Arabidopsis thaliana: one gene and its partners. The protein of the gene in region 2 interacts with the protein of the main gene of each other region in a biochemical or structural test. Each region holds a gene or a part of one and is shown on either strand. Other genes may lie near its edges.

Region 1 (8,142 bases), on a different chromosome or scaffold from region 2:
CCTATAGGATTATACCTGTTGAGATCAGAATTGAAATCTAATTACCTCAGCTTCAATTTCATCATAGAGGAATCTCTGCCTCAGAACAACCAGAGCTTGTTGAGCTGAGTCATTATAAATGTCAAAAGGTAGCAGAACACTCTCAAGAAGGCCTGAATTCTGGGCTTCCAGAATGTAGTCTATCAGCATCCATGGTAGTGAACACTCAATCGGGAACTGCAGTAATGAACGTATAATTTGTAAGAACAAGTCAGGGCTGCAGTGAAAACAAAGTGGCAAAATATAGTTATAACCTTTTTGTAATTCCGCATACCTGAATAACACGTGAAGACTCCAGGTAAAATTCTCTAAACCACAGGAACCCCAGATCAGTCAATATTCCAATACTTGCTGCAGCCATCGTAAATTGAAGTTGAGGAGTCAGCTTACAAAGCTATTGATATGGCTCAATAAACCAACCAAAAAGACATTTAAGCATGTGGGTTACCCGAGTAGTCCAATATGTGCAAGAAAAAGCTGAGCTTGTAAAAAAAAGTTTCTAATTGCTTTAAGTCATTAACAGGAATCTCAGAGCCATTATTTCCAAAGAATCCCCCTGGCCTCCTCAGATTTCCACCAGAGACAACCTCATATATCAAAAACTGCAAGCAATGCACCTGAAACAACAAAAAAGCAAGAAGTTCAAGCACTGGATCTTACCATCTGTTGTTGTACTTAAAATCATCTTGAAATGGACCCAAACCTGTGCTGCTGTTGGGGCAACAGGCCTCGGATAAAAGAAATTCCCTCTGCTTTCATCATTTCCATGTTGTGAAGATGGCATCTCATGTTCGGGCCTGGTATTTGCCATCCAGTCAGCTGAAAGTGTCCGCATATCAGAAAGAATCCTGAAATGCAACCATACATATGATAAGTTAACAATATGCAAAGCTTAAGTTTAAGAGAACATGGACTTGAAACAGAAAGAAAATAAAGGAAAACCAATTCACCTTGAGAGATCTTTCTTCTTTCGGAAGGTGGTACGCAACATTGTGGCTAACGTGTTCTGTACAAAATCTTGAACTTCGGCATGTATTGTCTCCCATAAAGCATCTGCAACTAATGTGTCACAGCGCTGCAGCATCGATCCTACACTCTTTATATAGCCAACAAGTTCTACCAAGGCTTTCCTTTCTTCTGCAGTATAATTGAACCTCACCACCTATTTAAAAGAATCCAAAACTTGTTACCATAAAAGATAAAACTTTTCGAAAATATTTCACAAGTATTACCTTCTCGTAATCAGAATATGATCCGGAGGCTTCAGGAGTCTCTCCTGCATCCCTACATGGGCGAGAGAATTTCCAAGCACATTGCTCCCAAATGCGTGCTGTCCATCTACTTAACAGTTGGAAACCTTCAACAACCATATCGTACATGTTTCCTTTGACCTCTCTGCACCATTCAGTATATGCTCCATCGTTTGACTTCAACAGCAATAACTGCATGAAAGCAAGTGAGAACAACATCCTAGAGACTCAAAATAAGAACAAGAAAATTGGAGCTCCAGGGATAGAGATAGCTTGAGCACCTGATTCATGGATGAAGCAAATCGGATTGTGAAATCGTCATGCTCAGCACGGAGAGCTCCAATGTGATTGACTATCAAATAGTGCCTCTGATATGTAAAATATGTTAAGGCTTGCAATTTTCAAAGCATGTGTACGGTTAACAATAATCCAGATAATAGTTAAAATAGGCAAGTAACAGTGAAAATATTAAAGGATATTCTAGCGCTTCACGTGGAGGGAGCTCATGAGGTGCTGGAAGAGTCAGAAGGCGAGTCTGTGATGAAAACTTTTGAAAGTATACCGACAATTCTTTCAAAATTGCAGCAGGAGAAAGATGGAGATCTGGAAACGCAGGAATGACAGGATCATTCTGATAGCCGAAAAACACACAACAAATATGACAATTAGCGACTTGGAAACAAGGCTTTGCGGTATATTGGTTGTGAATGCGAAAACAGGTATAACATGAATCTCAATACCTTGAAAATGTTTATCAATCTGTTGAGTTTTACCCTCTTGTATAAAGCCTCGGTATCTTTCTCAGATGGTGTTGCTAAGACAACAAGAACAGGTAGAACCCGGAGAAGAATATACCGCTCAGGAAAAAGTAGTGCAAAATCCAACTCCAGAGACTCCACGATGAAGACTATGAGAACTTGGAGAATATCTTCCACACTGAATTTACTAAGGAATCCAAAAGCTTGCAATATAGTCAAATGGCACAAGGGACTTGAGCAGCATGCATATCTCAGATAGACAAACCCATAATAATGTCTTTAACAGCCACACGATGGTGATAAATGTCTGGAAGAAAGGATACTTGTTTACACGGAACATCTCAACGTGCAGGTTGAGTAAAATAGCCCATCTTGTGCTCAGGAAGATCTGCATACATAAGAACTCACATTTTCATTTACGACAAACCACAGGGGAAGGCATTATCAAATGATTGCATAAACAAGCCATGCAAACACCTGCAAGTCGTCTAACTCTTCTCTCATTGTATCTGTATCTTGCCACTGCGCACTGACTTGAGTGAATGTTCTGAAAAGAGTGAAACTATCTTAAGAACATAAACTAAAAAAAAAAGCTTCTAGGAAACTAATTCAACTCTTAAATAGAGCTTTAGTAGCTGAAAGGATTAGTAACAAACATCGATCTACCTACATTCAAGTGTCCTATTTGCAGAAAATATAGATAGGAAAGATAAAAGTATTATATCTTTCACCTCTTATACCAAGAGAAATCATTAGGAATGCTAGCTTTAGCATTTTTAAGATGATCCAGCTGAACCAAGACGTCAAGCAACTTTAGCATTGACCTATATTAAGTAAAATCACAGTTAAACTATATACACGAGGAAAGTTAATCATCCAAGGATCTAATACAAAACACAAAATAAGAGTTATAACCCACCAAAGATGTGTGACTGTGGGACCATTGATCCGCCGTTCAGGTCTGGAAAACCGCTGCATGTCAGCAGCTAACTGCACAGACAGAGAATATACGCACATTATTTCTGATACAGGAATTTATATAAAACGAGTTGGACGAGGAAGGATATACACCGCACTTTAGCTGAAGCCGACGATTGCCATCTTTGAATTTCGCGTAAACGGCTCATTTCTAAGTCCAAAACTTGATATGTTTCTAGATACAAATCCGCTTGACTATGCTTCATAGATTCGGGAAGCTGCATGTATATCATTAATAAAGAAAGTTATGTGTGTTATGGAAGAAATATACACAACAACACCCAGCAAGAAGTACTGTATTTGATATTATTTTCAGTAATTTCTATCATTCGCTATTATTTATACAGAGAACTTTGTTGTTGCTTTTATTTTTGCATTATAACTGCATTATACTTTGTAGTTCAAAAAAGAGTCTCGTACAGTTGCTACGAGATTTCGAATACCATGAAGAACTAACGCATAGCATAATTCTCAAAGCTACATTTTATCAGATAAAATGTCTAAAGGTAGATATGCAATGGAGACAAGGAGTGTAGTGATAGATTTCACAAGGACCTGAGGCAGTGCTTTGACACAACTTCTATATGTGTATAGAATTGACGCCATCTCTTTTCCTTCTTGTATAAGTGTATTCTGCATATATACAATTGGTTGAAAACTTACTTGAAGTATTCAAATATAACACGATTAACACAACATAACCGTAAAAATATCAAATCGTAATTTAATCAGTCTTTCTAAGATGAGGCAAATGAAGAAGAATAGCCATATACCAGCTGGTTAAGAGCTTTTGTGTCTTCTGATAGAGACAACCGGTATGCAGCGACGTCACTATATTCTACAGAATAGTAATAAAAAAAAAAACATCTTGATTATTTGGATTTTATGGTAAAAGAGTGACAAGAGAACAATGAAGCATACCGATGGGACTATCGGTTGCTGCTCTTTCAGCTGAAACCATCACAGCCGGTCCTTGGACTTCTGGTTGCTCATCCTATAACCAAAATTCAAAATGCTTCAAGAAAATGTACTAGAGTGACTTCAAATTTTTCAAGAAGCTACTTAAATCTTCAACATTTCGTTGAAACTTATTTTACTGCTAACTTAGGCAAAGATCCACAGGTGATTAAACAATATATGTGATAATTTTACACGAAAAGGATTTAACAAGAAATAGAAACAATAATTTCATATCCTTTCTAGAAGAAAATTTTGAAATATGAACTCCGGAAAGAAAATTTGTAGTCAAAAGGATCCAAAGACCCACAATTTCTAAATTTTACCAAAATCTAGAATATCGAAGTTACCTCTAAGGAGAATGTGGAAAGAGCTGCGATTGCTTCCTCTACAGGAACCGCCATTGAGTCACCTGGAAAGATCAGACGAAGCAATTAGCAACATTGGGCGACTAAAGGATAAAGCTTTCAACTTTAAGGCTCTTACCCAACAACAATGGAGAGGAGAGGAGAGCTGCTACTACTTCAAGTCAATTGATTCGCCTTTCTTCTGATTCTTTACGGACAGAGATCGATAAATTCGCTACTACTCTGTCCGAACCAAATATTTCGCAAAGTTGGAAGCTTTCTTTTTCTATTTGTTTTTCTGTAACAAAAAAAAAATGTTTCTTTTTGGGTCCTCGTTTGTATTTTCACCTTTCAGAATTTTTCTTTAGTACATATTTGTTCAATCCGATTAAAGCTTTGAGAAGAAGCATTACATTTGTGTCTTTACTATGAAGCAAACTTGATGACAGCTAAATCATTATTTACTGATTCCTTTATCCTCAACCATTTCTTATTTTGGGAAAATACATAAGAGTAATACCAGTAACAAAACAAAATAGATATAAATACAATTTTACAGTGAACAACTACTGAACATAAAATAAGTTACTTTGTAGAATCAGTAACAACTTTTAAGGTTTAACCGGAGCCTTAAACCAATCCGGATAAGAACCAGCAGGTGTTGGTGCTATCGGTGTGAGCATGTAAACCGTTCACGGTTAAGTGTTAGTAGCCTAATGGAAAGGACATGCCGTCTAAGTCTAACCAGAAATTTTTGTTGTAAAAACATATGAATTGAGAATGAAACTCTAGAAAAAGCGAAAACTGTCTTGGATTCAAAATAAAGTACTTTCTTTAGCTACAAAAATAGGGAATACAATAAAATGGAGACGAAGATGATTAGAAGAAGAAGAAGAAGAAGAAAGAGTAAATTATTCATCCAATTGTTTCAAAAGCCTGAAGAGACCAGCTGCTTCTCGAACCCGAGAAAACTCAATGCAGAAAGCTTGAACTTCTATGAATAGATCCTTCACTGTTACATTTTTTACCCAAAAAAAACATATATCACCCACAATTGTACATCATACTAATAGACTATAAAAGCTTCCTCTGTGAATGTATCTAGTGATCTTTCTGTGTTATTAGCAAAGCAAAACGCCTAATTTGATAGCAATCAGTCAGAAACAGAGAATGCATACCGTTGATGATCTTGTTACGAATTAAGCTTTGCAAGAAGACGCAAACAAGCCGTACAAGCCTATTCTGCATGTATTTGTCTTGCTGCTACAGATCGAAAACAATATATCACTATACCGTTAACAAAACAACTACATTGAAATCAACAAATCCGAGAATCATATACACAAAGCACATAATGCAAAGCACAAGCAGAAGTTTTTTCACACAAGATTATAGGATGGCGTTATGGATACTCATAGAAAGCTTTGTTTTAAGTACCTAACGGGAAATCAAAAGGACGCTTTGTTTTAATACCTTAGCGTTCTCACAAGACGATATGCAATTAGTGATGTACATCCGTATGAAGTCCTTGGGAAGTTCAACTGCAGTTGTGAGCCTATTCACAACTTCCATTGAGTGCAGGCTCATGTCCATATTTCCTAGAGCTTCATAATAGCTGAAGAAGCATTCTTAGATTCCCACTTTAAAAGTTATAATTTTGGTCGAAAGTAAATGGTGGAACCAATAAGGTGATGACTTACTCATTAATCTCTGTGGAGTTATTCAACTTGGTGAGAATTTCAACTGCTATCTGAGGATTGTGCTCTACTAATTGCTGAGAATAAGAAACTAGATCACATGAAAAAAAGAAAAAAGAAAAAAACCACCTGCCAGAAAATGAATCACATACCGGCAGCTTCCGTGGAGTTATTCCGCAGTGAAAGACAAGCTTTGGGTCATTTGCCAATTCTGTAATGATGTCCTGGCCAGTAAATAAATAAAACAAGTTATTTCAATCACTCAAAAGATCCAGGTTTTCTAAATTCATCAGCTATACGGGCAAGGCTGATGAAATAAAACATCACAATCACTATTTATCTATTGCACGGTTATTTTCCATAAACTCTTACTGCAGTCAATTCCTTCTTAATATCCTAGATCTTTAAATCCAATGAGAAAGGAAATACTAGAGTGATAGCACGAGCACGACTTCTCTCTCAAAACTACTGCCATACAATGGCTGCCTTTACAACCTTTAAAATTTGTGCATATGTAGTTACTGTCCCATTGCTATGTTAACTTGCTTATAAGTGTTAGAGTAAGATAGGTAATAAAATGGTCAATACTTGTATGATTTTATGCGCATATCAAGAATTAACGAGCGATAACATACCTCTTGCTCCGTAGGTGAAAGTGTCACCTTTAAACCCTTAACAAGCAAGTCTCTAACTGTTGCACCACTGCTAGTATCAGCACACATTTTATCGTCCCAAACAAGCTCATGCTTGTTATCAGGGTCAATCCAAAGCAACTGTAAGAAGTTGAACCATTTAGGTCAGTTCGATAATTTTCTGAACCAGTTGAATAAGGGGTTATTCTTATTTTTACCTCGCTCTGATGAACTGGGTACCTTGGTGGACATGGACGGATCCACCTAGGACCTAATCCCCCCATTGTCAAATTTCCTAAGAATCCAGATAGTGCCTCATCCCTATCACCAGATCCAATTCTGGGATTCACTCCAGCTTGCACATCAAACCTATAAGATTATTTGACTCAATGATCATTCATACAATCAACTTCAAATTGGCACATTAATTATAACACAGAACATTAAGCTTGGAGGAAAACTGGAAGCTTGAAAGAAATAGATCAGATTCAACTGTATATAACAGTTAGAAAGAAACAGAATCCCCTGACTCATAGGTTACGTACTCTGGAGAGTTAGGATCACACCCACGAGGAACATCAGGATCATGCAATAGCTTTTTCAGGGAATAGTCTGCAAAAATGTGACTAGATGGTCCAGGATCGGCTTTGTCGCCATACTCTCGTTGCAGCTCTCCTAGTTCCGGAAAATCCTGACAGAGCATCCCCATATTAGATCAATAACTGGAAAAGGTTTCTCTAAATGTTCTCTAGGTAATGTTAGGCATAATAAAGGAACAGTTACGATGAAGATAAAATATCTTAAGAGATATAATTGGAAAGAAGATATCTATGCATCAACCGCTCTTACATGAGTTGAAGGATCAAACGATCTGATATAATCAACAGCTGAGAGTTTGAGAATCTGCAAGGGAGCACACTTTCGTTACTTTAATTGATCATGATTACTTACGTAGTATCCACAGGTCACAGAGCTCATAAAATTTTACGAATCAGGACTTGAAAAAAATATCAGAAACGAAAGAAGGCTTAGCATATGCCTGATAGGAGTGATGGACTTAATTATGACAGAAATAAATGAGCCCAGCAAACAAGTTTAAGGAGATCAGTAGTCTTAGAGAGTATATGTGAAAAGGGAATTGCATAACATATTTATGCATAAATTTTGAATTTTCATGGATTAGCAAAAAAGAAGCAGGCAAACAGCTATATCCTACCTCTTTCACGTTGTTGTAACTATTCCATTGTAACAGGTGGAGAAGAAATGCCCTTTCAGACTTTTCCAGCTGTTCATTACAAGCAGCCTGCAAAAGGCATAGATATTGTTATTCTTTCAAACGATAAGACCACGTCATGCTAAGACACAAAACATGTTGGCTTAAATCAATCTAATACACGGAAACTCAACATTCTCAAATACCATGCAACTTGGAGAAACAAATGGTCTGATACTATCTACCAAGCTTAACACTTAAATATGCTTAC
Region 2 (7,812 bases):
GCATCTCAATACTAAAAATGTTTTTTTCATATACAACAGGTACATTTACTTCTTTGAGAAAGGGAATCCACATATCACTCCATCTGATATACAGAGCCTCATAGAATTGATCAACAATGAGATGCAAAGCGACAACGGTAACACGACAATCCACTCAGATCCCTTCTTTACAAGTACATTGCGTTACATTAAGTTCATAAAACAGAAAGGTGGTTTGATGGGTGAGAAATATGACCCTATCAAGCTGTGACTTAAATCCGAGACACAAGCCTCATCAAATCCCGAGAGGAATTCTCTGTATTTTCCAAAGAAATGTTGGAAACTCTGAAAAGGAAGTGTACACTACACATGTTTGTTTTCTTTTCGGTCTTATTACAAAATGGAGAAAACCTTTGTAATTGTTATTTTCTTTGTTCCTTATACTCACCTCACCTGTGTGTATAGAATCCTCGTTTCTGTAAACCATTCTTTGAAACTATGCCTCAATTCAACGATGTCTCTAATCTTATTGTATATAGAGATCTATCTCAAGATGTTCTTCGTTGTCTGAATCTAATTACATACCAATACAAGACCATAAGATCAACGGAAGCTTAAAAAAAGTCACTAAAAAATTAATTAAGATTTCTGTTAAAGAAAATACAAAATGGACCCCAACAGCAAAAACAAAGACAACATAGTATTAAGAGATTAGTCTACATAGCAAAAGTACAACAACAACAACAACACACCAAGAAAAGAACACATCCCCTTCTCTTACCCAGAATCCTCCTCTTGGCCTCAGTTCACTCATTAGATTCACCAGCAAAAAGAAGAGTAAAGACCGAAACAAGCCGGATTCAACAACTATACAATGTTGCAGGTGTTCGTTTTCCTTCAGCTTCTTTTGTTACCTAAACCTTTTTTCGTTTTAAGAGATGTTCGATCACAAGAACACGCAGCGGTTCTTGTTCTTTTTCTTCTTCTTCTGTTTCGGTGGCTGAAGCACCACTTTTATGGCTGCGTCAAAGACTGCTTTCACATTCTGCAAAACCCAACAATCAACATTTTCACTGTCTTACCAAATACAAAAATCCCAAACAAAAAGACATGTGAGATATTATTTATGTGTGTAGTATACCTGCTGAGTCTTTGAACTACATTCAATGTAGATTGGTGATCCTATCAGTTTCTTTAGTTCCTCTCCCTGCAGACAAACAACTAAAGATCAAGAACTCGCAAAGCAAAAAACACTATTGTTTTAAAGAATTGTGGAGTTATGTACCTGGTTTGTAGTAATAGGCACTGCACCAGGATGGTCTATGAAGAATTGCTTGTCATCTCGAAGATCTGCAAATTCCAAAACTTGAATTATTATTCATCTCTTTCTTATTATAAGGAAAGAGTTTTTAGACAAGAAGAGAGTCAATACCGAGTTTCGTTCCAACGAGGATTATAGGAACACCAGGGGCATAATGCCTAAGCTCAGGAATCCACTGAAATAAAGAAAAAAAAAAAAAAAAAAGCAAATGAAGGAACCAATTCAAAATCAGCTTAACGAAAGTTATTACTATCAAATGAAAGACGTTAGATCAACAAAAAGCTAACCTTCTTGGCTACATTCTCGTAGCTAGCTTTGCTAATAAGCGAGAATGCAAGAATGAAGACATCGGCACCACGGTAACTCAACGGTCTTAACCTGTTATAGTCTTCTTGACCTGCACAAACCCAAGAATTATCAGTCAAAATGAAACCACAAAAAAACAAGAAAACCAGATTTGATGAGTTTCAAAAGGATTATTTACCAGCTGTATCCCACAATCCAAGATTCACCGTGTTCCCATCTACAACCACATTAGCACTGAAGTTGTCGAAAACAGTTGGAACATAGTCCTGATATTCAGTAACCAAGTCATAGAGTTTGTTAAACTAAAACACACACAATAGTGGATCATCATTAACACACACAATAATGGAAAAGATTATAGATCCTCATATCTGCAAATTTGACTAATACATACAAATTGAACATGAAGTCCAAAATGAAAGAAGAACAATGCTCATAGGTAAAGATAAATAACAAAGAAGCTAAATCCATGGAAGCATCAATAAAAGTTCTGAAGAAACATGTCAAGAATTGATTTTTACAATTTTTACCAGCTAATCAATCACATTCAAGAACAAAGATGAATAATCTCCAAAAACCCATTTTCAAAGAATGCTTCAAGATCACTACTGAGAGCAAAAGGAAGAAACTTTACCGTAGGGAAAGTGTTGCTTGTGTAAGAAATCAGCATACAAGTTTTTCCGACGGCACCATCGCCGACGGTGACACACTTTATAAACCTCGAAGCACTCATCTCCGCAGCAAATTCACAAACTCAAAAAAAGAACCCTTTTGCACTTCTTCTTCCTCAAATCCCAGCCATTCCCAAGAATCAAGAAACAATCTTTTCTAACTCAAGAAAAAACCCTAATCCCGAATCGTAGTAGAACACGGGTAAATTCAAAAGTAGCAAGCCAAATCGATGAGAGATAATAATGGCAAAAGAATGAGGAAAATCTTTGCTTTTTCTTTAATTTGCAATGTGTTTTGGGCCGTTGATGATTCTGAGATGAGCTTTTCAATACCAACCTTATGCCAGCTATTTGCTACACCAAACAACACCTTATCATTTACACTCACCCCACTTTAGTATTTCTTTTAAATAATACTAATTTTGAGCACTTTTAATTTTGAATTTGAATACAAATTGAGAAATTATCCGTTGTAATGAGTTTTTTTTTTTCTTTTCCTTTTCTGTATAGTAGAAATATCTTTTTACATTATGAAATTACTATCTGTTTTATGAGATTAGCTAAACTACCACCAAAATAAAAACCTAATTCACTAATAAACATGGATTTTTTTTTTAATTTTCTTTTAACAAAAACTAATGTTTTCTAATTTGACCATAGTTGTTAACCTAATTGACAATTATAAAAAAAAAAGACAGCAAATAAATAAAGATTATAATTTTTAAGAAAAAAAACTAAGAGTAAAGCATAATAAACGACCAAACTATGGGGAGGGAGGGCATGAAATTGCCAAATATTAATCATTGGATTGGGACGACTCTCGTCAAGAACGTGCGACTTAGTGTTACGGCACCATTTCATTCCTTTTTCTCAAATCCCTTATCAAATTAATATGGTTTAATTTTGTCAAGAGTGTCTTTGTCTTTGTTTTTATAGTTGTAATTTTAAAGAGTTTTCTTCATCTTTACGACATAAGAATCGAAAAATCTTACACGAACGTGCTCAACTCTCTTTCAACCTACCAATGAGCATACGACACATCATGAATTGTCCCACATTAGATTTATCCAAATCATACGGTCGCATTATTACAGTTTGCTTCTAAAGGACCAAGGACACATCAAAATTTCACCAATTATATTTATATGAACTAATATTCAATCATACCAAACTAAAGAAGGGGTTAGAGTTAGCTCTACGCTTCTACCTACTCTCAACCAAAAACACCTTTACCCATTCATTCTGATTCTTACATGAAATGAATTTCAGGCTTTATGATTTTTTTTATAAGAAATTTGATAATGATTGATCATGAAATCTAGTGCTTCTATTTAAAGCGACTTATTTGAAAATGAATAAACTTTACATTAGTGATTCAAGTGACAATATGGAGTGCCATAAGGGCCATAACACAAAGGCACAAACACACTAACACAACTGGAAGCTAGAAAAGACAATAACACGAAGGCTCACACTTGAGGCCCAGTAGCGAATTAAGGCCCATTATGACAACTCTTGAAATATCATGATTAGTGACCATTTTTGCCACCAGGGCCCATGGGGTACTTGGTTTGGTGAGACTCCAAATGAATTGACTGCCTAGTGCATGCTTATCCACGAAACAAGAGTTTTTACTTGTTTATTTTGGAATGTAGTAATTCATCTGTCATAGAAGAAGAGTAAAATATGTTATGTTTTAAAACATTATCCAATTTTTTTTTATTTTTTTGTTGCGTAATTAGTATATAGATAAGATGTAGTAGACTAAAGTTTGTCGGTTTCTCAGTCATTCAACATTTGTTAAAGCTTTAAAGGCATAGTGCTAAAGTTTGACAAGTGGAAACAGTCTCCATAATAGATGGCGCACATAGTTAATTGTGTCTAACAATGGCTGCGGTCGACTGATGGCCCATAGTTTGACAAGTACAAACAGTCTCCATAACAGATTTGCCTCTGTCTTTAAGCAAATCGACAGGAGCACATTAATTAGAGACACTCTCCTGGCTCGAAGGTACCGCAAAGGCCGCGGTGACTGCTCTCTCAATGGTTTTCCCATGCCTAGCTCGTAATAGTTCTCTATTTGTAATCTTTGCGTTTATTAGTTTCTGAGGCTTTTTAAAAAACAAATTGTCTTAGAAGCTATTTGTCCCAAAGATTTTTGCAAGTAACAATGTTTCCATTTTGGTAATTAATCACATTTCAAAAAAAAAAAAAAACTCACATTTTATCAAAAAAAGAAGAAAAATTGTGTCTAACAAAAACATATGCATTGCTTAGTACTGAAAATTTAAAACATGGTTGAGACTTGAGACATTGGGCCCATATATGCAATATAGAGCCATACGGTAATACATTTATGAGAGATTTTTACGACTTTTCTGAATCAACCTCGAACTATAAATTATAAAACAGTCACATGTTATTCTAGTTAGACTTCAAGTAGTGAGAAATTCAGTAAAAAGAACAGTCAAACCCACAAATTTCTGTTACATTATTTAACAATGAAAACACACAAATATCTGTTGTAATAGAGTAATAAGTAAGCAAGCATACGTACAGTGTGATACACAGTACAAATCTAACATCAGATACTAGCTTGAGATAATTTAATATTAATATGGGTGCAGGAAATTTTTGCCACGCTGGTTCAAACTCCATAGAAGTAACAGTTTTGTTTATATTAACATAATTTACAAATCTTGGAATTGGGATATCTATAGATATTTTTTGAATAACCACATAACTAGCTGATCAGCATGAACATTCTAGATATCAGTCTTGTAAATTGACATAATTTTGGTGGAAACATACATTTGGTATTCTTCTCCGAAACCGCCTGTTTTTTACATTGTAGCCGAGCCTAAGTACAATAAATAAAAATTCAAAGATGTCAACACAAGACCTCGTTTTTTAAAGTTGAATTAGCTAGGTAAATCTCTTTGGTATATAATTAAGTCGGAGATTGTGTTATGTAGCTAGCTCTCTTTTATGTATAAGCTGAATACTCTTTATTATAAGCAGTTTTTATGAAATACTATAACATATTCCTCCGATTCTCTATTTTCAAATAATCGTTTGTGTTGTGTTGGAGTTTTGCAGACAAATATGGACAAGAAGAAACAGTAGTATACGTCGTACGTAAAAGTTTATCTTATTAAAACAAAGCAACATAACATATCTGGTACATGTCATAAGACCTCTCATAGAGTGACACATACTTATTTAATAGAAATACACACTTTATAATTAAGCATTAAGAGCTCTTGGTAGATTAACATGGGAAGTAGCAGATACATTTGTGAGCTGGGAAGACATAGTTGCAAGATCCATGTCGTGCTTTCTCAAGGTTAATGCACTGATTCTTGCACGCGTTACTGTTTCCGCAAACTCCGGACCATGTCCCACTTGGCCTCTCGCACAACTTCTGTGCTTCCACCACCATCGGTGCTTCTGCATATAGATATATCTCTCACAGTTAATTATCACAATAAAATGAAAGAAAAAAGGTTAAAACTCAATTTTCCATGCATATGGTATACGATAACATCATTACTCACCAAGAGCAGCAAAGAAAACAAGAGCAGCGAAGAAAAGAGTAACGATGGTAGCAGACTTAGCCATGACTATTGTTTATACTTAGTTGTTTTCGATGTATATATGTTTTAGTTTGAAGAAATCTGCTTGAAATCAACCACTATTTATAGTGAAAAAATGATGGGGAGGTCGACTTTTACGTGTGCATGGGACAATAAAGCGTTCAACCCTATAAATAAAAAAATACACACCGTCTGATAGTAGAGAATACTAACATGCAAGTATTCATCTAATGATAGAAGATAATATCTTGACCAATTCATAAAAAGTGTGCTGATCGTGATCGGTGGCGAGTTTTCAGGTGCTACGTTTGTTCATTTGCAATTTCATTGGACCGGTGGCTACTACATTAACTGTTAACATCTCTGGCTGGTTAATTTGACTTGGTCAAAATTTTAAATATGTTGAGCATATCCTAGTACGGTACTCAAGTGGTACTTTGTCTCGACCACATCGCATTTAATAATAAACCATGAAGTTGGGTAGTATTTTTTTATCGACTTTTATTATTTTTTACTGAAACCTCCAAGGAGCTACTTCACTAGCTGGCAAGTTGATAAATTAGGTTATTTCTTCACTTTCTTTGGTATTGATTATATAATCATCAAACTAATTAGGATCTAAACATGTAATTAAATATTAGCAACATAGTGGATTTGGACTAACAAATTTGTAAAATAGCGCATAGATTATATTTAATTTCGTAGTTCCCACCTCAACTCCCACACAAAACTTCTTGGATTCAACTCTGCCATTTTCGGACGACCGAGAAGATAAATCCGATTTAATTTTATTTATTTAACTTATTGTTTTAAGGTAAAAAAAAATTTTTAAGAAAAACTGAAAGAAAATTCGTTTTCGATTTCATAGCCGTCATCCGCAAACTTTGACAAAGACTTGTCTCCTCTTTAAACATTTTCTGTATCAACAGCCACGTACCTTCAAGCCCTTCTAAGACAGCACCAGCACTAGCCGTGCATGGACAAGACAAGTAACAAACTCAGAATAGTACACCACCCAAGTTAATTTGTTAGGTTATTATTAAGAATAGAAAGAGAAGTTAACATTGTTAGATATGAATTATATTTGGTTAGATTAAGAATGCTTAACTTAGGGAAGGCTGCTTCTCTGTTTAATGTAACTTAACTATTTAAGTGGCTGCTTTGGCTTTTGAGTCAAGTGTTACATTGCCTATAAGAAGTGGGCTTATTTTGAATACACACACAATTAAGGGATCAATTATGGGATTAGCATATTAAAGTCTGTGCTTTTGTAGATATAGGAACATCTCATGTTCCTTACAAATTTAGATACTTTTATATTATATGGATGACTGTTTTATCCTTCAATCTAATTGAGTTTCTTCTCCTTGTACCTTCAATCTAATTGAGGAGAATTCATCAATATCAATCGATCTCAGAAATGTGCGATTATTTCTCTCTCTTTCTCTTTCTCTAATGGCATGGAATCTATTGCCTCTAAACTCACCATTGATGTCCATTGCTTCTCCATCACCTTACAAAATTCAGATCTATGCCTGGCCAATCTTCTTCCTCGACGATGCAGGTGGTAATCCTCCATAGCTTTTTTGAATTTGAATTGTTTGATCTGAATTAATTTCATCCTCTCTTTCTTCAATTTCAAAGAGGGATAAGAAATAATTGAAAATTTTAATCGATTCCAATTATTTAAGATTAGTATATTTGGGTTCGTTATATAATATTTTCTTAGGGGTTAGCTTTCTTCCATCAAAAAGCTTTTAACTGATTTTATTGGGGTTTATCTGAATTGGATGGTGATGAAATGTTATTAACAGATTTTCTAATTTTTGTCTCTATCGATTTTGTTTCCGTAAATACATCTTTTGTGTATATATTGTCTTGTAGAAAGAAACATTGATTAAGTAGAGAAATAGGATAATCAATCTCTGTACTTAATACA
Region 3 (7,825 bases), on a different chromosome or scaffold from region 2:
AATTGTTTGCACAAATTTGGGATACTTCAAGATTGCAGTTGTGCATTTTGGAGAATGCCTTGCTATCGCAATAGTAACAGAGATTATGCTGTCCTCAAGCGCTGCTGTTGGTTCTGTCTGAAATCATGAACATTAAAAAAAAACCAGAAAACTAAGCAACGACACAAAAAGAATGATTTTACTTGCTGAGTTACACATAGATAGTGATCTCACCTCCAGAAGGTGATAAATTCTTGGAAGGATATCCATTCTGACGAGACCAGCAGCAACATCTTGTCCGGCTACAAAAACATCTTTCTGAATAGTATCCGTATCTTCTGTCCCGTCATCCAAGATTTCTTCACGGAACGCAACAATATTGGAGGGTTTAGCGCTGTACTTCCAGTAGCAACCACGGAGGAAGCCAAGATCAATTTCCGGCTTACTCCTGAACACCGAGGCCGTGAAGATATCTTTCCCGTGTGGTCCCATGTTCTGGAAATAGAAATGGGTTTTATCAGTTTGAACATGTATAATCACGTTCTATGAGGACTATAACTTCTTAGGAGTGAGAAAAATCAACTATACCTCCAGAATATTAAAGAAATTCTCGTTAAGAGAACAGCTCAGTAGACACTGAATCACTTTTACACATGCTATAACAACAGAGGCATGGTTGTCATCAAGAGCCATCCTAAAGAAGAAAAGAAACTTATATTGATAAGAACAAACAATTTATGATTTATGAGTGACAACTTCACAAATAAGTCTCAAAATTACACCCATCAGGAAATTACCTCAATGCTAAGACAAGCTCAGGTTCCGGTCCAAGGGCATAAGCCCAGATGGCTTCCCAGTCAGTGGATTTATCTTTTTCTTCCCTTGCGTAGCCTATTCTGCTTTGACAAAGTTTGTTCAAAGCTTTGTCGAGTACAGATGCAAGCAGATGCAAAGCAAGACATCTCTGCCCGGGAATCTGATATATATATCAATAATACATACAAATCAATGAGCAGTGATAACGAAAAAAACGCAGTCTCAGCCTACAGGTTTTGTTCAGCTAAAGCCAAAATGGAGGGAAAAAAGAATTTAACCATTAATTAGCATCAAAATTAAAATATGTGGCAATCATACATACCACACTTCGTGCAAGAGCAATAGCTTCTTTGATAGTGTAACCTGCGGCCCCAGGATCCCCCTCGGTTCTCAAGAAATCACGTTCGGCAGCAGATTCAACACCAGACCACTTTCCACCTGTACAGTCAAAGTGTAAGCAACCTAAGATTGTCATGTGTTTCAGTTGTATTGTTCTACTCACCAGTTTCAGCTGGCGAGACAACATCTTCCTCAACAACATTCCCGTCAAAAGAAAATCTCAAGTCTCTGGCTGCCTCAACCCTCTCAGTCCATGCATCCCACACGAATCCTTGGGCTATCCCTGGCTTTTGCACCACACTTTTTTCTTTCGGTATTGCCATCACTTTAGGAGTGACAAAATGACCCTCAGTTCTTGAATTCTTTGCTGTTTCATCGGTGATGGAAACCCCCTGCACAGAATGCTTTCGCTTCTTCAATTTTGCCTCACCTCGTTTCTTCAAAATGGAGAGTAGTGCAGGATCCATCTTGTCCAATAACTCAGCCTGAGCCTCAGCAATCTCGTCGGGTGACATTGTCTGCAACTTTGCATGGTTCTCAACATCAATATCACTTTCAAGAGACGAAGACGCGTGTCGAGTCCCAAGTCCATTCGAAACAGCTAGGGGAGGAGAAGCGTTTAAAGGAACCCTTTCCTTGGTTCCCAAATTTTTAATAAACGGTGCTTTATCAGAAACAAACTCTCTCTGGTCTGATGCCCTGGCAGCCAGTAAAGTGTTGCTGGATGTAGTGGCCGCATCGGCTGAAGCAACATAGGGCGGTCTCGTTTCAATGATCTTAAGTTTCCTTGATTGCTGAGGGACATGTGTGGATGCAGGATCATCCCCAGAGACCATATCTTTCCACCTCCCGAGGTCCATGTCTTTCTTCTCTTTTCTTTGAAGCGGTTTAGCAAAAGCAGCAATGGAGTCTGCATTCATGAAACGTTCTTCTGCTTCTTCTTCTTCCTGATCGTCATTGTAATCCTTAGGTTGTGCTATGCTGCTTCCCACAGGAGCCAAATGCTACAAAATCAAACATGAGAAACAAAAATTAGATGTCTCAGAAAGCTGAATTACAAGGTCAGGCACGGTGAAAAATTGTGGAGTCCCAAGTACTAAACAACAGTAGAAGGTGCTTAAAATCTAGAAGAAGGCAACAAAAGGAAGATGGAAACCTAAAAAGCACGCACTAGAGGATTGGATTGGCTTACGGGTCCGTGAGAACGATGACGAGCGACGGGGAAGGAAAGAAGGGAGGGCCTTGGGGGAAGCGGCTTGCTTGGAGGCTTATTCTCCGATATTCCTTTCTCCACGATGCTCCCGACAAGGCTCGCCAAGACGTTGTTCGGCTGTTCCGGATTGACTCTCCCGCTACTTTGCTCCATCACTCTAAACCCTCTCTCGCCTCCGCTCAGCAAAACGGAAAACTCTTTAAAACTCCGTGTCGTCCCGATAGCTTATAAGAACAAGTAAAAAATAACAAGAAAACCCCTTTCTGACTTTTTAATTATAAAATTGGAACATCAACTTTAATCCTGTGCAAAACAAACCATATAGTCATAGTCTATATTTGAACCAAAAGTTGTCGCTTTAGTGCAATGAAGAACATGATTAAATCACTCAAGAGACGGGTATGTGATGTTCATTCAGTTTTAGGACTTGGACCATAATCTTTGTAAACTTGGTAAATGAGCTAAGGAATTGATTTGTTAACAACATTTCAAAACTCCACATAAGATAACATTCTTGTTGCTATTACCACATTCGTCTTCGTAGTCAGACAAACAAGAAACAACTACAGTCTCTACAACCATTGATTTACATTCTTCTATTTTCAATCTTAATCTCTTTCCGGCGTCACTCCCGTTACTCTTCTTGAACTCAGATTCCCTGCATACGACCATGCTTTCTCTGTTTCTCCCACTATTCCCTTCTCTCTCGTCCCATTCCTCTTCACTGAATACAGCGGCGGTGCTCTCCTCGGGCTTCTTGATGCTACACTTAGGGCAGGCGTTGCAAATGGTGAACCGTGCGGAGAGCTCTGCACAGAGAACGCTTTTTGAGGGTTGAGTCCATTGATGCTGAATAGGGATAGCGATTCTGTGACAGAGATGGATCTTCTCATGGCATCATCAACATAAAGCACATCATCTATTCTGGCCGTGATGTTGAAGGCCATGCTCTCCATCACCCTAGAGTAACTCTCCAGAATTGATTGCCCTACATCCTGCAAGAACACACACAAACTCTTAAATTATCTAAGCATCGTTTCATGATGCAACCAGCAAAGCACACTCCAAACTATAATGTACCTTGTTGTACTGAATCTTGTTCATGTCCAGCGTTGTCTGGGGAAGTCCCGGGAAACGGATCCTGAGACTCTGCAAGAGGGTCTCGGCTCTCTGCACAAGGAAATCATTTCTTTCGTTGTCATTAACAAGGCCTTTAACCTTGCCACCCCAAGAAGACAGCTTTAGTTTCGCCTGCTTCTTGTGCCTCCTCCCATTCTTTTGTCTCCAAACATGCACAGCCGCCTCAATCCGGTTGGCGATTTCAAGAGTCTGATGTTCCGATGAGAGATCAAGACAGTCCAGGAGGCATTCGGGAGAGAACTTGTTTGCAGTTAAGTACTGGTAGATGATCTCTCCAAGACATTCCTTCCCGCTCTGCATTAAGTTTAAAATCATAACTCAATGAGCTAATCACATATAACGGTAAAAGAATTTATGCTCCAGCAGCAATGAAAAAGCTAATCCTTGAGCTCGAGAAGGCGCATACCTTGGGCAAAGTCTCCAAGTAAGGGTCGGGAATCTCCATTTCGGCAAGCACGCCACTGTTAATTGCCAATGCAGCCTTGAGAATCTGGTTAGCAAAGTCCCGACACTGCTGCAGTTTCTTCCTGGCCTCTTCTGACAAACCGTTAGGCGGAACCTTAGGGCAAGGCAGCCACCACTTGTCCTCCTGCCTAACGGAAGCTGGAGAATTGTAAGAATCCTTGTCACAATCACCAAGAACTATGCCGCGATCAGTGTACCAGAACTCAGTATCGGAGAAAGCGTCAAGCATATCGATCAACATAGCATCGAGCTTCTTGAGAGCAGGGAGATTGGCATAGAGATCAGAACGTGGACGGGTCTCCATGATCTCATAAGTTCCGCCTCCAGGGAACTGCTGAATGGAAGGAATGAGCTCAACGATAGAATCGCTAACACAGAGCAGCCACTCAAGTTCTCTGCGCCACATGGCCTTCTTCTGAGGAGCAAGAGGCTCAAGCCTCCATAGTTCGCCAAACACAGTCGCTGTGTGGACACTAGCCTTATTAAAAAACTAGAAACCCCTACTATATATACCAACTAACAAAAAGGGAAGAAGATTGAGATGGTACCAGAGAGATTGGTGATGGCGTTGGAGATAGCAAGCGCCGTACAAACCCCTTTACCTCCACCAGACATGTCTTCCCCGAGAAGTAGCTTAGCAAATCTCTCCTTCATCATCTCAATTTCTGAAACCCAATAGGAAACAAAAGGGAAATTGAATCCTAGTGTTCATCAATGTTTACAAAAGAGGTCAAATTTGGAAACTTTTATACCGGATAAATCGTTGTCTGGTTGTTTGTCATCCCAGACCACATCTTTGCCGCCGATCACCGGAAGCATGACTGGGGCCGGGAAGTAAAATCCTCTACCAGCGACAACTCGAGGGGAAGAAGGGATGGAGCTAGAGGCACCCTCGCCGTCGAAGCGGTGGCAGGAGAAGCTGCTGGAACTCTCGGACTCGCTAATGTCGGCGCTGGGACTGTAACTTCCGCATCTCTCGGAAGAGACTTCGTCGTCTTCCTCAGAAGATAAGCTCCCCATTATTGAAGCGGCAGAGATCTAATAACGGCTCAAAGAGTCCACATTTGGGTTAAGAGACAGACAGAGAAAGGAAGAAGAAGGAAGTGGATGTGATGATGATGCTTGTTTGATAAAAAGCAAAGCTCAGAGAGAAAGAGAGAGAGAGATGAGAGATAACAAATAAAAAAGACTCCTTTCATTTCCTCACTCACACTCTCTCTCTTCTTTTCTCTCCCATCCATCCATACTCACGGCGTTATCCTCTGCCGTTAGGGACAGGTATGAGGTTGGTAACAGATAAACCGTTAACTCACGGTCGTCACATTTTTTAACGGCGAGATTAAATTATATCCCACGGCCGTTCTCATAAGAGGAGCATGCGCTTGTGTTATATCAACCGTTGGATATTAAAAGTGAACCATCAGGATCTTTTCTACAGAGCAGAATTGAGAATCTCGAAGCGACCGAGAAAATAAAGAAAGGCTGACATTGTGTGGACTAGAAGTATTCCTTGTCGGATCATCAGACTCTCTCGTACCACACCGGCCTGAACTACGTTGCACCATATCTATCCTCGTGATTTTACGCCACGTGTATTACGCCCATTCGCCTGATCTACACTGTCCATAGTATTCTGGCGTCATTAAAGTATTCACATCGTACGGTCTAGATTGCGTTTGGCTTACTTATTTCGTGGATTCCGCTGTTTTCGGTTATGGTTTTTTCACGCAACGAATCTAAGCCGTTGATTATATTACTCTTCTTAATTCAATTCATTAAAGTACCTATTTAATGCCCTTTGAATTCGGGTTAATATAGTAATCTACAATATTAATGTCACTGATCACTAGAATATGCTATGGATTGGTGTTGATTCACATGCATGGCTTAATTAGTTGACTCTCTGCTCTTTTTTTTTCTTCTCTAAAAGGCTTTTAACCTTCCAAATAAACGTTTGTTTGTCTTGGCATTATTAGCAAATCTTTTCCATTGCCATGTTTTTCATTCGATTGACAGCCTTGTAATTTGTAATTGCAAGGTCAACAAAAACTTTGACCAAATAGAACAACTTTCTATACCAATAAACATTCTACATCTACCGGTGGATAATAATTTAAATTTTTATTTCATCGTTAAAGTCTGTTTATTCGAAATTAATGTTTCTAATATGTTATGTATGGTTTTTTTTTTTTTTTAATTTACTCTCTCTCTTCAAACTATACTATTTTGCTTGGTGATATGGTAGAGTTACTTGGTTGATTCATATGAAAACATTGCATTTGCCTACAAAAATTAACTTCAAACTTAGCAATAACCGTTACAAAACAGTAAAATTTTCATCAAATTTGGGTATACATTACAATTTTTGAAGTATATATAATAATTGTGCAACATATATCTAGCTATTGAAATTATAAAGAATAAAGAACTCAATATAATAAAATACATATCCCTAAATCAGCCATTGACGATTGGTCTGAGTAGAGTCATTAAGGAGTGGTGTGTTTATTGGAGGCTCGGCCACACAACAAAGCATTCTTAGGCAAAAGATATTCATCTCTAAGAGAGTGTGTTGGAGAATAAACTCGAAGGTAGAATTGTTGACCCAAGTATTGCCTCGCCCAATATTCACTCCTTAGATTCCACATCCCCACATTGTCCAGTGCCACATATACGGCTGTCCAAGATTCTGGATATACCTACAACAACCAAATACTAGTTTTGAGATGATTTTTTAAAATTTTTGGTAAGATATATGGAGTTAGAAACTATTTGTACCTGAGTGGTGGAGCGAGAAATAGCATCCCTAAGATTATACTCTCGTCTGCTTGCTTTTGACCATGTTCCTCTATCCGTCCTGTGGACAGTACTCACAAACATCAGATGCATGCAATGCATTATTACTAGCTACTATATATAGAGGACGATAGATATAGCTAATCTTTAATTATTCTCACCCAACAACCCAAAAACTATATCCATCGAGGTGGTAGCTTTGGACGATCTTCTCGCGGTTTTGAAATATGATTTCAAGGAAGTCTCTATGGTGTGCTCCCATCACTGACGTCTCCATTCTCATCCCTCTTCCTCTTCTCGGCTTGTCAGGTATGCTTCCCATTTTGAAAACGCCTTTGATCTTGAAGTAATCCGCAAGCTTTAGCGGAGTATCTCCAGGTACAAACGACACTCCGTTTATGGCGTAGCGTTGCTTCCTCTTCACTAGTGCCGCTGAGCTTTCCAATATCAAAGTCCTAGAAATCTTGATTCGACCATAGTGGTACGAACCCTGAGGGTTAGGCCTTGGCCCAGACGCGGTTAGATTGGTCCTAATGGACCGGGCTTGTTTGATAGACCAATCTAGTTCATCGGCAGGTTGTTGAACATGGACTGAATTAGCAGAAGATGAGTGGCTATGTCTTGAGTTGGAGTAGTGGATAGTAGATGAGACCAAGAGTTTTTTGGCGACAAATTTTGTGGAGACGACAATGTCATAGTCTTGGTCAGGCTGGTCCATGGTGACCAAGACCGAGTAAGACTGTCCAACGTGAATGTCGAGAGAGGTATACATGGACTGGACTGTGTGTGTTCCCTCTACCTCAACGAGCTTCATCTGATGACCTTGGATTCTGAAATTCAGAGTGTGTTGAAGCCCTACATTCGATATCCTAAATCTGTATGTTTTACCTGATAATTGTTCCACAACAAAAAATAAATGATGAGATAATATAATGCTTTTCTTCGTAATCAAAGTATTTGAGTGTTTTTAGGATGAACCTTTGTGGACGGTGATGGAAGACATGTAACTGACTCCTTGGCCATTGATCAAAACCCCTTGAGGCAAAGGTAGCTTGTGTCCTCTATCCAAAATTGCCT
Region 4 (7,827 bases), about 28 Mb from region 2:
GGAATTTAATGAAAAAAACCCTCAACTTTGGCCAGATCCATTTTTAAACCCTAAACTATGTTTTTAGTAAAACAAATTCTGAACTAAAACCTGTTAATAAACTTAACCCCATAGTAATTAAATATTAATGGGATATTAATTTCCAAAAAAAAAACAACGAGACATTTGTATTTAGCGCAAAAACCACATGATGTTCTTTAAAACTGTTTTGAATTTATTACAAAAAAAACCTTCTAAATGATTTTGAATTGCTTAATTAGTTTGGATTTTAGAAGCTGAAAGAAAGATACAACAACTTAAAATAATCCAAGGAGTCATGCTTAAATAAATCCAACCAACATAACTATCGAAGCTGTTGCAACACAACAATATTTGTCACAAAAAAAAAAACAATCGTTTCAGAGGGACAAGATATTCTAAAGTAAAGACTTGTCAAACATTAACTTTGAAGAGAAGATTGTATTGGCTGAGTGATAGGGTTCTCTTCATCCATTGTTTTCTGTTTTTTCCTTGGTCGTCCTTGAGGTTTCTTGGGTGGTTTTGGCACTGCTTTACGCTTGCATGAACGTTTGTTGTGTCCGACTTGTTGACAGTTGCTGCAAGTCTAAATATGCAAAGATTAAATTAAATAATTTGAAAAGGAAGATCTTGTGAAACATAATTCATTGTTCTCTATTTTACCATTTGAACTTTTTCACGTGTATAAGGAACTTTTTGAGGTGGACGATCTTCAGTTGGATCACGGATTCTGTCATTGTTCTTTGGTCGATTTTTGGAAATTAATATCTCATTAATATTTAATTACTGTGGGGTTAAGTTTATTAACAGGTTTTAGTTCAGGGTTTGTTTAACTAAAAACATAGTTCAGGATTTAAAAATGGATCTGGCCAAAGTTGAGGGTTTTTTTCATTAAATTCCCTTTACAAATTAGAGTTGAAAGAGAAAAGTGTTTATTCTCCGTATTTCTAAAAAAACTACATACTTTACATGTAAAAAGTGTATACTTATTATGTAGTGAGGTCGGTGACCCACGTGACAATAAAATTATTTAAGAAGAAAATATAGTATTTCTCTCGTTTTGGCTACTGATTATGTTTTCTCTATCGAATTTATGTTTAAACAATGAAATCTGAAGTGCGTTTGATTGGGCGCAATTTCTCTCGTTTTGGCTACTGATTATGTTTTCTGAATCGAATTTGTGTATCTGTGTTGCGCGAATCTTATTTTAAAAGGAGATTAGCAGATCCACAAGCATCTCAGCAGCTTCGATCTCAACAGTCACAGCAGTCCCTTCTCTCAGGGACCTTCTTCGTCTCAGCGTGGTTGTGGTGGTTTCTCTCAGATGACTCAGAGTTCTATCGAAGATCTCCTCATCAACGATCAGGTTTGCTACTTAATCTAAAAGACTTAAGAGTTATCTTCTGTAGATCGTCTCTTCTTCTTCTTCTGAAGAAAAGTTAATTAAGCTATGATTGATTTCATATTTGGTGCTGACTTAAGACTTAAGAGATGTTATACGTTTAATATGGGTTTACACATAATTTAAAATTTTAGCACTTGTTTTTAGTATATTAATAAATATTTAAAAATATACTTTTATTTAACTCTTAACACTTGTTTTAAAACATAACTAAATGTTAAATTCTCCCCACTAATATTATTCCCGGTATCTAATAATCTATATACAGCGTTCGTCTTTCTTACATAAGGAAAACAATTCTTAATATGATTTTACTTCAATTTGAATCTTACTAGGTAGAAGAAATTAAAAGTAATTATACTCATCATTCTTCTCCTCTCATTGTTTTGTCTACATAAAGAACATCATCAATCCAAGCAACTATGTTAAAAGCTAAACCTTCAAGAACTCTTGAATAACTCTCTAACACAGCTTTTCCAACATCCTGCAAACCACAAACCATAAATTGTTATAATATTCAATAAAACATGATTCAGGTCACTGTTTGTTTCTTAATTACCTTGTTGCAATGAATCTTGCAAATATCTAACGATGTCTGAGACAATTCTGGGTACCGTTGTTTCAAACAGAAGAGCAAAGACTCTGCTCTCTCAGCCAAAACATAGTTCTTGTCACTTCTCTCTGTAATTGACATTAAATCTTTCACCATATTCCATGAAGACTTGGAATTGTTAAGACAAGCTTTGCGTCTCCATGTGTACATTGAAGCTTCTACTCTATCTGCCAGCTGAAGCGCTTCATGTTCTGATACAATCTTGAGACGATCTAGAAGTTTTTCTGGTGAAAACCGCCCTGAACTCGTCATGTGTCGATAGATTGCATCTCCTGTGCTCGCTTTTCCGCTCTGCAAATGCATAATATTGTAAGCAAGAAAATGACACCAAAAATAGAAAACCAAAACTTCAAAATCATCTTAAGTGTGGTTACCTTTGGAAGAGTTGCCATGTAAGAATCAGGAATATCCATTTCACCGAGTATGCTGCTATTGATGGCCATAGCAGCTTTATGGATTTGATTAGTGCTCTCTCGCTTGCTCTTAAGTTGTTTCCTTGCCTTCTCTGATAAACCTTGTAATGGAACCAGAGGAATCGGTAACCACCATTTCTCTTCTTTCCTCTGCACAATCACTTTCCTGAATGATCCAGTTGCGGAACGCGTTGACTTCATCGACAAGCTTCCTTCTTCTGCATACCAAAACTCTGTCTTTTGAAAACTATCCAATGCCTCCTGCAGAAAACAAAGAGAATGACTTTTATGAGGAATATTAACCGAGTCAATCTTATTGATGATAGCTTCTTGTTCTGGTGTAGTAACTACCATAAGCATGGAATCTAGTTTTCTGAGTGCAGGCAGATTGATGTAGATATCTGCTCTTGGTCTACTCTCCATGACCTGACAAAAAAACCGCAACAGCTATTTTTAAACTATTGATGTTTATTTCAGTTTTTGGACTTATATCTATAAGCAAATCTTGTTTACCTCAACAGTGGCTCCATTGCTTAGATTCTGTGACTTTGGGATAAACTCGAAAATATAGTCACACACAGAGAGAAGGCAATTCATTTCTCTCTTCCACGTCGTCTTCTGCTCTATCTCCAATGGTTCTAATCTTAGATTCTGTCCAAAAACAGTAGCTGCAAATCTCAAAATCAAAAGACATTAACTACAGTTTCTCTAGATGGCTTAGTTTGAAAGTCACAAAACTGTGAGGCGTATTAGTGTTTAGTTACCATAAAGATTGGTTATAGCGTTTGAGATTGTCACTGCGGTGCAAACGCCTTTGCCGCTTCCTGACATATCTTCCCCAAGCAGAAGCTTCGAGAATCTTTCCTTCATCGTCTCCAGCTCTGCTACGAAACCGATAACAGTTTCATGATTATAATGACAAAGAGGAAATACAGACACAGAGAAAGAGAGAGAGACGGAGAAACACAAAACCTGGCTCTGAAATTTCTTGGACCGCAAGGTGCTCATCAGTCTCAATCTGATTATGTTTCAAGTCGAAGACAGTTGGAAAATTTGAGCTCGCAGAGTTGTTGGATTCGGTTAAGACAGGCCAATCACTAGGAGAAGCCTCAGTGCAGAAACTGCTGGTTTCATCTATTTGGTCTGAAAAGCCTCCTCCAGAGGTTTCAGAACATGTTCGATGATAAGCAAAAGAATCTGTGCTCATTGTTGAGTAAACCGGAGTTTCAGATGCTGAATGATCATTTGGATCGATGGGACCAGGTGACTGATGATAGCCCACATCGTCGTTTTCTTCGTGATTTGGCAAATTCTCCATCTTCTCAATGTTCTGTTTTTGAAAATTCCTCTGCTTTTGTTGATCTCTTGTTTTAATAAAAGAAATAAAGCTTAGAACTTTCGTTGTGATGTATCAGGAAAACTTTAGAATATGAATCTAAATCCGACAATTAGAATCGGGAATTATTTTTGATTCTTGGATAGTGAAATTTTGAGGACCAGATAGCAGTAAAGTAGAAGAATTGTTTTGTTTTTTTTTGGCCAAAAGCAGAGACCGTTAGGCGTGCCAAAATCAAAAAGCAAAACAAAACATAAAGAAACGAAAAGAAAGAAATGAAGTAATCACAACATTATTTATCGAAACTTTCACGAAGATTTATTTTATTACTATAACAAACATTTCGCTTATGTCGATCAAGATACATGAAAGTCTGAAACTTGAAATTTTGAAAAACGATATTAAGGAAGAAGAAAAAAGCAACGGTCTTTATTTTATTTACCTTTAAGGCTTTAAAGCTTCTGCAAATTTGTCTTTGAATTTGAAACGCTTGAATCTTTTATAACGTTTATAAAACACTCTCTTTTCCGCATTAAGCTTTCTACACAATTTATCGGTGCCCGGAAAAAACTTGAACAATGTGGACCGTCCGATGGGGAAGGATGACTCATCCTACGGTTGAGATTGTGAAATGTTTTTTCAAACATTTCAACTAAAACAACTAATTGAAGATACGAAATCATAAACCCCAAAGGTACCTAGCGTGTTACGCGAGAAACACATAGCTACAGAGAATATCTGTTTCCAAATGTACATATGCTTTAAGATTAAGTAGGAGGAAAATCCATCGTGACAGTGAGACCCAATCGATCGAGAAAGCATCCATGATTTGGAGAAAATTAATACTGATTCAAATTGAAACATAGACTAGAAACGAAAAATAACAGCTTTCAGGAGTTGGTAACAATTTAATTAACCACTGAGTGATAATCGAACAAGACGAAAACCCGTCCGGAGTGGTTACTATAACTTGCATATAGTAACCATTGGTTTTAAACAAGCAAATTAAACGAAAAGAAAAATAAATACTGATTCAAATAGAAACATTAGACTAGAAACGAATTAAAATAACAGCTGACTGAGATTCTGTTATTATCGTCTCTTCTCATGGGCCATTTAGAAATTTACTTAGTTCGGATTTATTTTAAGGCCTTAAAGCCATTAATGGGCCTTGAGGTTGTAGGATTTGTTTATTGCTTTTTGTTTCATCTCAAGAATTAAATTACATCACACCAATATTATTTGTATATTTCTTCATTTATTAATACTAATTATTATTATTTTATTTATAACACGTGAGAGAAATAAAAATCGAACCGAGTCCACGTATTCTTCCATAAACCGGAGCTGGTAGTTGATACAATTGATTTACCTTGCCAGGTGGGAGGAAACCACATTTTCTCACACCTAATCATCATCATCCAACCGGCGATTTCTTCCGACTAGCCGAATCCGCCATGAACACCGAGTCAGGTAAGCCTATAACGTGAGATTGAGGAATGACGTAGTGAGATTTTCGGCGAATTCCATGTTGTTGCTGCTCTGTTTTTGTAGTTGTCGAGTTCCTTGGAAACGTCCCTTTACTCCAGAAATTACCGAGCTCTTCTCTGAAGAAAATTGCTCAAGTTGTTGTGCCGAAACGTTACGGTCGGTCCATTCTCAATTTCGGATTTATTCTTCTCTCTGATTTCACGATATAAAAAAATTGAGCTGTGTTGTTCTCTATTGTATTATTGAAGGGAAAGGGGATTATGTGGTTCGTGAAGATCAAACTTGGGATGGATGTTATTTTATTTTGCAAGGAGAGGTTTGTTTCTGAGACTAGATATCGATGTATCTATCTTCGCCATTGTTATAATTTGATTCTTGTTTGCAGGCTCAGGTTTCCGGACCAGACGAAGAAGATAACCGTTCCGAATTCCTCTTGAAACAGTATGATTACTTCGGCGTTGGTGAGAGATGAATGCTTTCTGTTCAACCTTGGGTTTGGTGATATATGCTCAGCTTCCTTGTCTTTTTTCTTCCTCCTACAGGTTTATCTGGGAACGTTCATTCAGCAGACATTGTTGCTATGTCCCAGGTATTTGCTGACTTTTGATATATATTCCAACGACAAGCGTGTCCAAGTTTCTTCCCTCACTTGTCATTGCAGCTTACGTGTTTGGTGTTGCCGCGTGATCACTGTCATTTGCTTGAGACTAATTCCATCTGGCAATCGGATACGTCACTTGACAAATGCTCTTTAGTGGAACGCATTTTGCAACTCGACCCTTTAGAAGTACGTACGGACGGTGTTCTTCTTTATCACATTTCTTTCTGCTTCTGGCAACTGAATCTCTTTTTCTCTGTGCTTCTTTCTTCTAGTTGAATATCTTCAGGGGGATCACACTACCTGATGCTCCTATATTTGGAAAGGTTTTTGGAGGACAATTTGTCGGACAGGTATCGCATTTTCTCTAGGAAGGTTACATTATTATGTCTCTGTAAACCTTGCTGATCTGATTCATGTGCATATATATATTGCTTGTTAACAGTGATAACCGTAACCACTACTAAGTCACTTTTACCAACATTTTACAGGCTCTTGCTGCGGCGTCAAAAACTGTTGATTTTCTCAAGGTCGTCCACAGTTTACACTCCTATTTTCTTCTCGTTGGAGATATTGACAGTATGTACATAATCTCACTGGGGCACTTTCTAGCCACCAATGATGCCTTTCTTCCCTATTGAAACCCACCCTGCTGTTGGATTCATCTGATTATCATAGTTTGTTGCTCTTGCTTGCAGTCCCCATTATTTATCAAGTTCACCGCATACGTGATGGGAACAACTTTGCCACCCGAAGAGTTGATGCAGTACAGAAAGGAAATATCATATTCATCTTGCTGGCATCATTTCAGGTTTCCCATTTTATTCTTTACAAGATAGCTTATGAATCTCTACGTCCACCTGCCACCAAGAGAGAATAGCCTTTCACAAAACTGGGAAAATTGTTTTCTTAAATTTTCTCTTTTATTACTTTCATAGAAAGAACAACAAGGATTTGAGCACCAGGAGTCAACCATGCCCTCTGTACCAGATCCTGATACGGTAAATCATTTCTCCAGATTTAAGGGTTCCAATAAATTGTTGTGTGTTTTATTTTTCACCATTATCTGCTACAGCTTCTATCACTGGAGGAGTTGCGTGAAAGCCGTATAACTGATCCTCATTTACCGAGGTAAGTGGTAGTGTTTTCCAATGTATGATAACTTATATCAAAAGCTCAAGTTGGACCAATCTTCCAATTGTTTCTTTCTTTCAGGAGTTATCGGAACAAAGTTGCAACTAGAAACTTTGTTCCATGGCCTATAGAGATTCGATTTTGTGAGCCCAGCAATTCAACAAATCAGACAAAGTCTCCTCCGAGGTTAACAACTCGCTGAAATAAATCAATTATATCATAGAGTACTCTTGAGTGTATACTCATAAATTCCATTAAGTATTTCTTAAAAAAAAAATCAAGAAACTCACAATGCCTTCTTGCAGATTGAACTATTGGTTTAGAGCAAAGGGAAGGCTTTCTGATGATCAAGCTTTGCACCGGTAAGTAACTCCATCTATGTATATCAAGGTAACCATCTAAAAATTGGTATTATTCATCTGGTAACAATCCTTTAAACTTTAAAGGCAAGAATGATTGTAGACAAGTGAATCAATGGTGTTTTAGTATCCCAAGTTGATAGGTTGAGACTTGTAAAAGGCCAAACTTTCTTAATAGCATTGAAAAACTGACGGTATATTGAAATTCAATTTATCATTCTTAGCAAACTAATCATTTGGCAAAGCCATGTTGATATGCAGATGTGTCGTTGCATTTGCCTCGGATTTAATATTTTGTGGTGTTGGTTTGAACCCTCACCGGAGAAAAGGGGTGAAATCCGCCGCACTTAGCCTGGACCATGCGTAGGTTTTTATTTTCTCTTGGTGATGTATGAGTTTTGTGTGTCTGGGTTAAATTTTTTAATTACATTGAGGCATTATTCCAGTAGGGATCTTCCAGATA

Evidence for each region.
Region 1: the proteins of ARAC5 (region 2) and PIR121 form a complex in vitro, tested with the Arabidopsis thaliana proteins (one study listed by BioGRID).
Region 3: of the proteins of ARAC5 (region 2) and ROPGEF1, one has a biochemical effect on the other in vitro, tested with the Arabidopsis thaliana proteins (one study listed by BioGRID).
Region 4: of the proteins of ARAC5 (region 2) and ROPGEF2, one has a biochemical effect on the other in vitro, tested with the Arabidopsis thaliana proteins (one study listed by BioGRID).

The regions. Positions count from the first base shown.
Region 1 is NC_003076.8:6,100,398-6,108,539, forward strand, and holds the start of PIR121 (transcription activator), read right to left. Parts: upstream 4,584-8,142; 5' UTR 4,469-4,583; intron 4,395-4,468; 5' UTR 4,387-4,394; coding exon 4,333-4,386; intron 4,020-4,332; coding exon 3,947-4,019; intron 3,864-3,946; coding exon 3,799-3,863; intron 3,659-3,798; coding exon 3,581-3,658; intron 3,244-3,580; coding exon 3,124-3,243; intron 3,038-3,123; coding exon 2,967-3,037; intron 2,872-2,966; coding exon 2,779-2,871; intron 2,595-2,778; coding exon 2,525-2,594; intron 2,436-2,524; coding exon 2,371-2,435; intron 2,226-2,370; coding exon 2,030-2,225; intron 1,921-2,029; coding exon 1,769-1,920; intron 1,665-1,768; coding exon 1,571-1,664; intron 1,482-1,570; coding exon 1,272-1,481; intron 1,202-1,271; coding exon 990-1,201; intron 888-989; coding exon 743-887; intron 657-742; coding exon 488-656; intron 391-487; coding exon 314-390; intron 217-313; coding exon 46-216; intron 1-45. Other genes in the region: AT5G18420 (CCR4-NOT transcription complex subunit), read right to left, coding at 5,241-5,341, 5,508-5,592, 5,803-5,944, 6,030-6,103, 6,179-6,250, 6,662-6,799, 6,877-7,027, 7,204-7,349 and 2 more. UniProt on the Arabidopsis thaliana protein: Involved in regulation of actin and microtubule organization. Part of a WAVE complex that activates the ARP2/3 complex. Interacts with the active form of RHO-family GTPases.
Region 2 is NC_003070.9:28,470,491-28,478,302, reverse strand, and holds ARAC5 (RAC-like GTP binding protein 5), read right to left. Parts: upstream 2,655-7,812; 5' UTR 2,340-2,654; coding exon 2,241-2,339; intron 1,873-2,240; coding exon 1,785-1,872; intron 1,698-1,784; coding exon 1,588-1,697; intron 1,476-1,587; coding exon 1,412-1,475; intron 1,330-1,411; coding exon 1,265-1,329; intron 1,187-1,264; coding exon 1,121-1,186; intron 1,025-1,120; coding exon 926-1,024; 3' UTR 501-925; downstream 1-500. Other genes in the region: VPS35B (VPS35 homolog B), read left to right, coding at 40-250; LCR67 (low-molecular-weight cysteine-rich 67), read right to left, coding at 5,549-5,727, 5,835-5,898. UniProt on the Arabidopsis thaliana protein: Involved in cell polarity control during the actin-dependent tip growth of root hairs, thus regulating root hair length and root hair initiation.
Region 3 is NC_003075.7:17,983,790-17,991,614, reverse strand, and holds ROPGEF1 (rho guanyl-nucleotide exchange factor 1), read right to left. Parts: upstream 5,232-7,825; 5' UTR 4,973-5,231; coding exon 4,705-4,972; intron 4,618-4,704; coding exon 4,501-4,617; intron 4,415-4,500; coding exon 3,894-4,414; intron 3,782-3,893; coding exon 3,428-3,781; intron 3,343-3,427; coding exon 2,956-3,342; 3' UTR 2,746-2,955; downstream 1-2,745. Other genes in the region: IYO (RPAP1-like, carboxy-terminal protein), read right to left, coding at 1-117, 214-474, 568-673, 777-955, 1,118-1,233, 1,298-2,138, 2,327-2,500; sks9 (SKU5 similar 9), read right to left, coding at 6,442-6,651, 6,731-6,809, 6,910-7,636, 7,727-7,825. UniProt on the Arabidopsis thaliana protein: Guanine-nucleotide exchange factor (GEF) that acts as an activator of Rop (Rho of plants) GTPases by promoting the exchange of GDP for GTP. Acts downstream of PRK2 in the control of polarized pollen tube growth by activating ARAC11/ROP1.
Region 4 is NC_003070.9:257,711-265,537, forward strand, and holds ROPGEF2 (RHO guanyl-nucleotide exchange factor 2), read right to left. Parts: upstream 3,906-7,827; 5' UTR 3,765-3,905; coding exon 3,419-3,764; intron 3,328-3,418; coding exon 3,211-3,327; intron 3,115-3,210; coding exon 2,960-3,114; intron 2,894-2,959; coding exon of another isoform or gene 2,873-2,893; coding exon 2,408-2,872; coding exon of another isoform or gene 2,325-2,407; coding exon 1,980-2,324; coding exon of another isoform or gene 1,953-1,979; exon of another isoform or gene 1,905-1,952; coding exon 1,785-1,904; downstream 1-1,784. Other genes in the region: AT1G01710 (acyl-CoA thioesterase II), read left to right, coding at 5,240-5,255, 5,337-5,429, 5,522-5,589, 5,659-5,734, 5,816-5,862, 5,935-6,060, 6,147-6,224, 6,363-6,450 and 6 more. UniProt on the Arabidopsis thaliana protein: Guanine-nucleotide exchange factor (GEF) that acts as an activator of Rop (Rho of plants) GTPases by promoting the exchange of GDP for GTP.